2 linked regions of the Oryzias latipes genome follow. The main gene of each other region encodes a partner of the protein of the gene in region 2 in a complex. Links are inferred from orthologs where the notes say so. Each region holds a gene or a part of one and is shown on either strand. Other genes may lie near its edges. The genes, in order: brk1 and cytoplasmic FMR1-interacting protein 2.

Region 1 (4,196 bases), on a different chromosome or scaffold from region 2:
GGGAACAGGGAGCAGCCCGGAGTCGAACCCGGGTTTCACGGACGGAAGGCGCCGCAAACCAGCACGAGCTAAACTGGCTCCCCCACAAATGTTCATTACTGATCTGGTTTATTCTTCTAAAGTCTCAAAAACTTAACATGACCGCTTTCTTCTTAAAAAATGAGCACTCGCCCATTCCCCAGGCGTCCTCTCATAAGACCTCACTAAACAGCTCAGTGGAAAAAGTTTGCTGCCACACGGCCACCTCTCCTAAACACTTCCATATACCCTCACAGGTATGTGGTCGGGCCCAACTGCCGCTCTTCAGTCCATTTCAAATTTAAAGAGTTTTGTGACGTCATGCTTCACAACAACAGCCACCTTTTCTGCTCTGTGCTCCCAAACGTTTTCTGATCTTCAGACCTCCATCACACTCATGGAACTAACTGTCCATTTCCATCCCCGTCCTCGATCACTCCAACATCCTCCATATCCTCCCATTTCCGGCCCCTCAACCTGTATAGATCCACCCTTTTCCTCTGTATTTTAAAGAAAATATGCTTCCCATTTCTGTGGCCTGCAAGTCAGAATTAAGGGTAACAAAACAAACAAATTTCCGCCATTTTTTTAATTTAATTGGGAGTTGTAGTTTACAGATTTGTTACACGTTTCCAACATGAAACAAACAAGAAAAAAAATCTTATTTCATAAAGTTTGAATCAAAAAAGGACATTAGGAAAACCTATAATTTCAAACTGTAAAATTCAAAATACACAACCCCTACATCCCTTAGTTTGCTGTGATTGATGTGAACAAAATGAACGTGTTCTAACTTACCATATGCACAATATTATTTTGTTTCTTATAACTAAACTTTATACATTTCCTAATAATTACATCAGTAGGACTTTTGTAGTCCAGTTAAACATAATAGAGCCAAACAATGCAATGCCTTTATTTTCAGAAACATTTGCTGTACAAATATCCTCAATGGTCTCTAACTAATTACTTGTTCAACTTGGCACATGAGAATTGACCCCTATTTTTCTATATAAATCTCTGATTTGTTTATGACACTGCATGCTTAAAGTTTAGAGCAGGTCCATTTCTGAATATCATTTTGAAACCAAAACTTGATGATTCCCACTTTGTTCTAAAAAATAACAATGAAGTCAGCCACACCCCAAAGATGGACTCATTTTATGTTCAAAATTCTGCCATGAAGACAACACAACAAAGGTCAATCACAAGATATAAAAATGGTCCTTATGATGATCCCCCCTAAAAAAGGGAAGGTGGAGTCCAGAACGCTCAGTCCAAAAGCTCTGGGTGGTGGATGGATGGGTACACAGATTCAGGGAGAACATGAAGTCCCATCCATGGTCCTCTCTAGGTCAGGGTCTCTCCTTTTGTCACCTGCATTCACAAACAGAAATATGTAGCAGCTGCTTAGCATTGAGAATGGGAAACACGGAAGGGCTGTTCTGCTTACTCTGGCCTCTATGTACTCGATCCTTCTCTCCAACGCTGTCAGCTTCTCGTTGAGGGTGGCCAGGCGGGATCGACAGGACATGTCTGTTTGGGTTCAAATGTGGTAAAACCTTTAAAGGTGCTGCTAACGAACAGTCGAGTGACGACAACAATAAAGTAGCATTTGAAGCTTTTTCGGGTTTACAGTGTAACAGTCCCATGGAATTTAGTCTTCATTCTGTTATGTAATACAGCTACCCTGGACGGAGATATAATTTAAACTTTTATTTTGCTCTTCCCAAATTTCAATTCGTAAACCGCTAGCCTGCAAGCTAACTGCTAACTAGGAGTGTCCATTAAAAACATCAACATGGGCTAGCTTAACAAGCTATCGCCATCTTTCTACGCTTTCACGCCGAAGATGGTGGTCGAAACCTTACCGAAAGAGTTCAGAAAGTCGGCGATTTTTTTGATGCTGCTCGTTATGACTTCTATATACTCTCGATTCGCCCAGTCTTGGTGAATCTCCCTCTGAACTGGGTCTTCCTGGCCAGCCATGTTGGATGATTCTCCGCCCGCAGTACCGAGCACCGAAGCTAGCTATCATCCAGGAAGCAGAGGGCGCCGGTCGCAATGATCTCACTGTTTCCAGAGACAAGAGTTTAAATTCTACCGAAGTCTCATTTTCTATTTATATTATTTATTACAAATGTTAAACGAAAAATGCGTTACAGCAGCCAGATAGTTTTTAAGCAAATTCATCACTACTTTCATCCATGAAAAATTCAAAAATGTCAATAAATCCTGTATAATGATTTGATTTTGCATGGAGATACAATTTCTGATTTGTTCTTCGTGTAAGGCTGCTAATCCATGGCAACAATTCCGTCCCACTCCAATGAAAATGGTGTTTTTAACATGTTCCTTTAACATTTTCTCATAATCGAGGAAAGATATCAAGAAAGTTAAGCTTAAAAATGTATTTCTGTGTATTTCTTTCTTCAAAGTGTTGTTAATCATGAGCAGTTGGACCCATAACATTATGTTTGATTGTTTTTAAAGCACAGACTGAAAGAAAAAACAATGTTTGAACTGGATCAGAACCAGCCTGCATTTCAGCTGAGCAGTGACCAGGCACTGGACCGGCTGTTTCACAGCTTTGTTTCATACTCCCACTTTTGCTAGCAACAGCCTTCCAACAGTTTTCTTGCTCCAAGTCTAAAGTCACAAAACTCAACCAGCACCATAGAACTGGGGAAAAATAAAAAAGTCTTCCTATTTTGGGAACAAGCTCCTCTTTGCTAGCTGCCATTTTAATGACTGCGTATGGCAAGAAACTACGGAGCCCCTAAAGGGCCATTGAACAAAAGAAAGATTATGAAGCAAAAAAAAAAAAAAAAAAACTAACTGCACCCGTTAGTATTGGGTGCAGTTTGTTTTTTTGTTTTTTTTACTTAAATTTTTTTTCACCAGTTACTAACAGCCATTAATACAAATAACAAATGGCTTTAGTTTTTTAAAAGCTTTTTGAAACAAACCACATGACTTTAAAACCCATTTAAGATGACGTTCAGAGATGATGTAATTGTGACGGTAAGCTAGCAAAGCTGGAATCTCTTTGTAGACAAGTCAAAAAGCAAAGTAAAACTCAATTAGCTCACATAATGCCATTTCCAGGTAACTTGGAAACATTTCTCCGTGCACAAATTACCTAGTAACTGGTGCGCACCCGTTAGTTTTTCTTTCTTTTTACTTCAATTTTTTTTTTCCTTTTATTTTTTTTTTTCAATGGCCCTTAAGGGGCTCCGTAAGAAACGGACGGGCTGACCTTATTCCAAACAACAGAAGCCCAAGAAATCAGTGCTGGAAAAACACAATCCCAGTCTCCCCCAAGATAAATTGCAACAAATTCGAATTTATCGAAAAATTGATTTTTTTGCCTAGCCCATCAGCAGCCCTCTTTTTCTGTTTAACAGTCTCAAAGTGAACAAAAAGTTGTCCGTAATTTATTTATTTTCTAACTTGTCCTGTCCAACAGCTGAGCAAACAGATGAGAGCCGAAGGCCTCTTGTGTTGGACATATTTTAATGTTACAACGTGAAGTTATGAATCTTCTGACACACAAGGTGTATATTTGAATAAACCCCTTTTGTAATTTAGACAAAACTTTATCTATTAATTATATTTATATTAAATATATAGTTGGAGCGTATGGAAAAGAAGGGAAGAAGAAAAAGGGGTTTAAGGGAGGTGGGGTGGGGGTAGGAGGGTGACTGTGGGGGGGGGGGTTAAAATCATAAAGCAACAAATTGCTGGAAGTTTATAATCATTACTGTCAGATTCAGATGCATAATAAATCTAAAAGGGGCGGGGCCTGTCCACGCACACACTCAAATGTTACAAACATACCTGTTGGCTCCCAAAATGTTTACATGGAAATATGTCAACATGTACATATAACGTTCACACACGCATACTTATACATTCAGTCTAACACATGTGAAACATTTCATTCAGTCACACAAACTATTTGTGCAAAGGTGAGATAGCGCTTGTGAGTTTTTCTGTTCTCCTAAGGTGGATGATGGAATGTAAAAAGGAGGGAGAGTACCCAGTCATCCCCACACCAAGACCCCGGCCGCCCCAGCAGTGGTAGCCAGGATCCCCCAACACCCACACGATATAGCAGAGAGAGAACAACCGCCCCAAAGGTAATCACATCCGCCACCCAGGCCAGGGGCAGCAGG
Region 2 (3,820 bases):
AAAGCCGGCCCGGATTTAGCCTGCCCCACTCTGGGGTAAAGCAAGAATATTAGGGGTTGTGCTAAGAGTTTGGGGTTTCACATCCGTCCGAGCTCCTACATATGCATAGAAAACCATGCTTTCATCATTTCAGCTCATCTATAGCCTTCATCTTCTCCTTTGATCTATCTGAAATGTCCTAGGTTTTAGGTTGAATGCTCTTCCTGACACTACCCTCCTTATTTATCGGTCTTAGGATAGGCACCAGCAAGCTGTTAAGGGTGCATTTATGTATTTTTTTTTCTTTTCGTGTCCGTCTATTTGTCCATCTGTCTGTAACTCCATGATGTCTTTTTTTTTGTTTTTTTTTTGTAATTTTTATTTCTATAGTTGGTGGTGGACGTCGTGGGCCATCACATTCAGGGGGGCACCGACGCATTTAGGTGGCATTGCCCCCCTCTTTTCAATGCCTATATTCGGCCTCGTCTGCCTGTCTAATCTTCATCTGTCTGTCCGTCCATCCTTACGTTATATATATTGTTTTATTTTGGTTTGTGGGGTGCTTTTAGTTAATTGTTGATTTTTGCGGGCCGTCACATTTGTGTCGGACAGTCACAGCATTTAGCCCCCTTTTAGAGCCCAACCTGTTACTCATATCAAGTCTGGTTCTGCTGAAGAATTCTTCCTAATCTTCCATTTAAAAATGGAAGTTTATGCCCTGTTGCTGTTAGCTTACTCAGTATGAAGATTCCAATGAAAAGCTTTCAGTGTAATCTGCTGGTCAATTACATAGACCATTAGAATTTAATTAAATGATCTGGTTTCTTGGAATAATCTTATACTGGATTATAACAATAATAGTCATTATGAATCTCAGCTTGATGGTTTTTTAATTTAATGTAGTATGTAAAAAACCTCAACCAGTCACAATCTATGCTTTTAATTGAATTTACACTGAACTTCCTTATTTGAGTCATTTTTGCTAAAAAAAAATAAAAATAAAAAGTGCACATTTAAGTTTAAAATTTCAAAACCTGTCAGTAAATGTGGTTGGACAAAAGACAGAGGTGAGCTCACCGGGGGAACCATACTCATGGCGCGGTAGACGGCAGATCTTGGGCATGACTTCTATCAGAGTTTTCACATATTGCAGTATGGTGCCCTGCAACTATAGGGTAAAATAGATAGACAAAAGCATCGAAAGGGAAAGAAAAAGGCAGATAATGATAGCGGTTACAATTCAGAAAGATCATGACAACATGTTTTTTGGAGGCTGCAATTGGAAGATAAATACCAGGCTCTTGACAATTTTCAGCAGCTCCTCCATCACGACAGCGATGCCTTGGTAACCAAGCAGGCGGCAGATGGTCTTGAAGTGAGGCGGGCCGACGAAGTTTCTATAGGAGCTGTATATGTGGGAGTAGGCGATGTTCAGAGGCTGAGAAGAAAAAGAGGAAGCATCGGAATCATAATCGGAGGCAGCATAGTCATTATTTCAGTTTTTCTTTTGTTACACAGTGTAAAAAGCAACAAAAAATAGATAAAAATATGAACACCAAACATAGAATGGCAATATACCTTGGATCCATACAAGTAATAAGGCTGCACATTGGCTGGCTTGTCTCTTTGAGGCTCCTGGGTGAAAGGAATAGCTGTTCGCACAAAGCTGAGAGGAACAGGAGAGATGGTTCAAAGTTGAAACAAAACAATGGTTTTTCTTTACATTTATTTAGCTGACCGGTTCGTTGATCCGTTGTAGCAGTAATTTGGGAGAAAATCGAAGTTGAGTTCCCAGAAAACGTGGAGCGTGATTCGTCCGTAGGGAGCAGAGACATTGTGGTTGGCCTCACGAAACATGGCATCAAAGCTGTCCAGCGTCAAGTGTTTGCACAGAAGTCTGTGGGTTAGCCTGTTGATCTCCAGGAGCCACTCCAACTCCTGTCCAAAAATACAAGGAGTTTAAACAAAATATGGAGAACGAACAGGAATAAGCTTCACCTGATGGTCCCCTCACCACTATGGAGGTGAGGTCTTCACTCTCAAAACGGCTAATAGCATGATCCAAGGATTTGTACATCGCTGCCGAGATTCTCTGGGTGATCAGGCGGTTCAGGTCAATCGAGCGACCCAGCAGCTGCAGACGAGTCAAATACGACAATGACATAGTTTGCAAATGAGACAGCAAAATAATCAAAAAGACGATGTGCAGATACCTGTACGTGTCTCTGTTTGAGCAGCGTCTCGTAGCGGTTTGATGGAGGGTACGGGATGATGACCCCGTAGTTTTTACACTCTGCCCTGAAACGCTTGTCTAGCAGAACACTGTGGAAAAAAATCACAATTTCTTCAAACGAAGCCCTCAAATTTCTGTATTCTGTTCAAAAAAAAAATCTCCTTTTACCTGCCAGCCATTGCTTTATAATAGGCAAAGATCTGATCTGCCAACTTGTAGACAAACTGGTCAAAGCACAGGTTTACCTGTTCAAATAACACACAAAATATATATCAAATTCAACTTAAAATGAGCCAAATGGAATTGGTGTCCATCAGATCTTACCTCAGCCTCAATTTCATCATAGAGGAACTGCTTTTTAAACTTTGTAAGAGCATAGTAGGCACTGTCGTTGTACAAATCAAGGGGGTACAGCACATACCTGGAGGAGAAAGGGTAATGGTTGCAGTACTGCCCACTTGTTAGGGTACAAAACACAAATCTCCCCTTAATTAGTCTTACTCCATCATGGAAGGCTCCTTTGTCTCCAGGATGTGGTCAGTAAGGATCCATGGCATGGACATTTCAATGGGGAACTGGATTCTGCGGCCCATGGTCAGCTCCAGGAAGAACTCCCTGAACCAGAGCTGGGACAGGTCGCAGCACTGCTGCAGGGCCTCTGGACAAGACAAACACAATTAAAAGTATTGCTTACATGCACAAGGATAGTCCTGTGGACTTTGTATAAATGAGCAGAAAATTCAAATAACTGTCGTACATTCGTCTGGTTTGGGTTGCTAAAGCACATACAGCTCTCAGAAGCTGCTGAAGCAGATTTAACTGCCTGAAGAAAACCTGCAGTTTCAAGTGCTGCTCACTTGGGGGCAGCATAAGCAGACCAAAGCAGGGAAGACGAAGAAAAACAACTATTGCCACAACCACTCTCAGATAATTAGCGCTAGTATTTCCTCACTACAAGTTTACACTGCAATGCTTTTCAACTTTATGTGATTCCTTCTGAGTTTTGCTGATTTTGTTGCTACTTTTAATACATAACTCTTATGTCATTTCTCCTTTTGGTTCACTTCTGCGCTTTGGTCAACCATAAAAAACATGAAAACCAGAACCTTCCTCTCAAACAGAGCAAGGTTCACCTATTGTCTGCACTAGAGTTTAGATGAGCTGTACCTGACAAAGTGGACTATATAAGGAAATCATTAGAGGTACAGATAGCTGTTAAAACCTTCATGCTTAAATAGGATCATTAAAACAAACAGCATGCACTTATAGTTTGATATTCCAACTAAAATTTTCGATTTCAATCAAAAAATATATTCCATCTCCTGAATAAATGACTTGAATTACATTTAGCTTACCACTAAAGTTCAGTAAATGTGTGAAGAAGAAGGACTGCTTATGGAAATCTTCGATGGCCTGCACTATGGGTCCATCCAAACTGCTGCGGAGAGTCTTCTTCGATCCACTTTTGTCTGCTATCAGGGACTCCAGCATGGTGCGGACCATGTACAACTGCACAGGAAGACAACCAAACATCAAAATGCTTTTTATTTTTCACAAATTAAGAAACAAAAAATGCTTAAAGTCCCACTTGTGTTTTATTTTGATCTA

Evidence for each region.
Region 1: cytoplasmic FMR1-interacting protein 2 (region 2) and brk1 share a complex: the UniProt entries of both Homo sapiens proteins name them as parts of the WAVE1 complex. The link is inferred for Oryzias latipes from reciprocal best matches to the Homo sapiens genes CYFIP2 and BRK1.

Annotation. Positions count from the first base shown.
Region 1 is NC_019863.2:7,144,144-7,148,339, reverse strand, and holds brk1 (protein BRICK1), read right to left. Parts: upstream 2,513-4,196; 5' UTR 2,008-2,512; coding exon 1,890-2,007; intron 1,555-1,889; coding exon 1,472-1,554; intron 1,396-1,471; coding exon 1,369-1,395; 3' UTR 593-1,368; downstream 1-592. UniProt on the Homo sapiens protein: Involved in regulation of actin and microtubule organization. Part of a WAVE complex that activates the Arp2/3 complex. As component of the WAVE1 complex, required for BDNF-NTRK2 endocytic trafficking and signaling from early endosomes.
Region 2 is NC_019868.2:21,208,135-21,211,954, reverse strand, and holds part of cytoplasmic FMR1-interacting protein 2, read right to left. Parts: intron 3,722-3,820; coding exon 3,568-3,721; intron 2,871-3,567; coding exon 2,714-2,870; intron 2,634-2,713; coding exon 2,537-2,633; intron 2,458-2,536; coding exon 2,381-2,457; intron 2,302-2,380; coding exon 2,193-2,301; intron 2,114-2,192; coding exon 1,994-2,113; intron 1,918-1,993; coding exon 1,718-1,917; intron 1,646-1,717; coding exon 1,558-1,645; intron 1,418-1,557; coding exon 1,274-1,417; intron 1,148-1,273; coding exon 1,057-1,147; intron 1-1,056. UniProt on the Homo sapiens protein: Involved in T-cell adhesion and p53/TP53-dependent induction of apoptosis. Does not bind RNA. As component of the WAVE1 complex, required for BDNF-NTRK2 endocytic trafficking and signaling from early endosomes.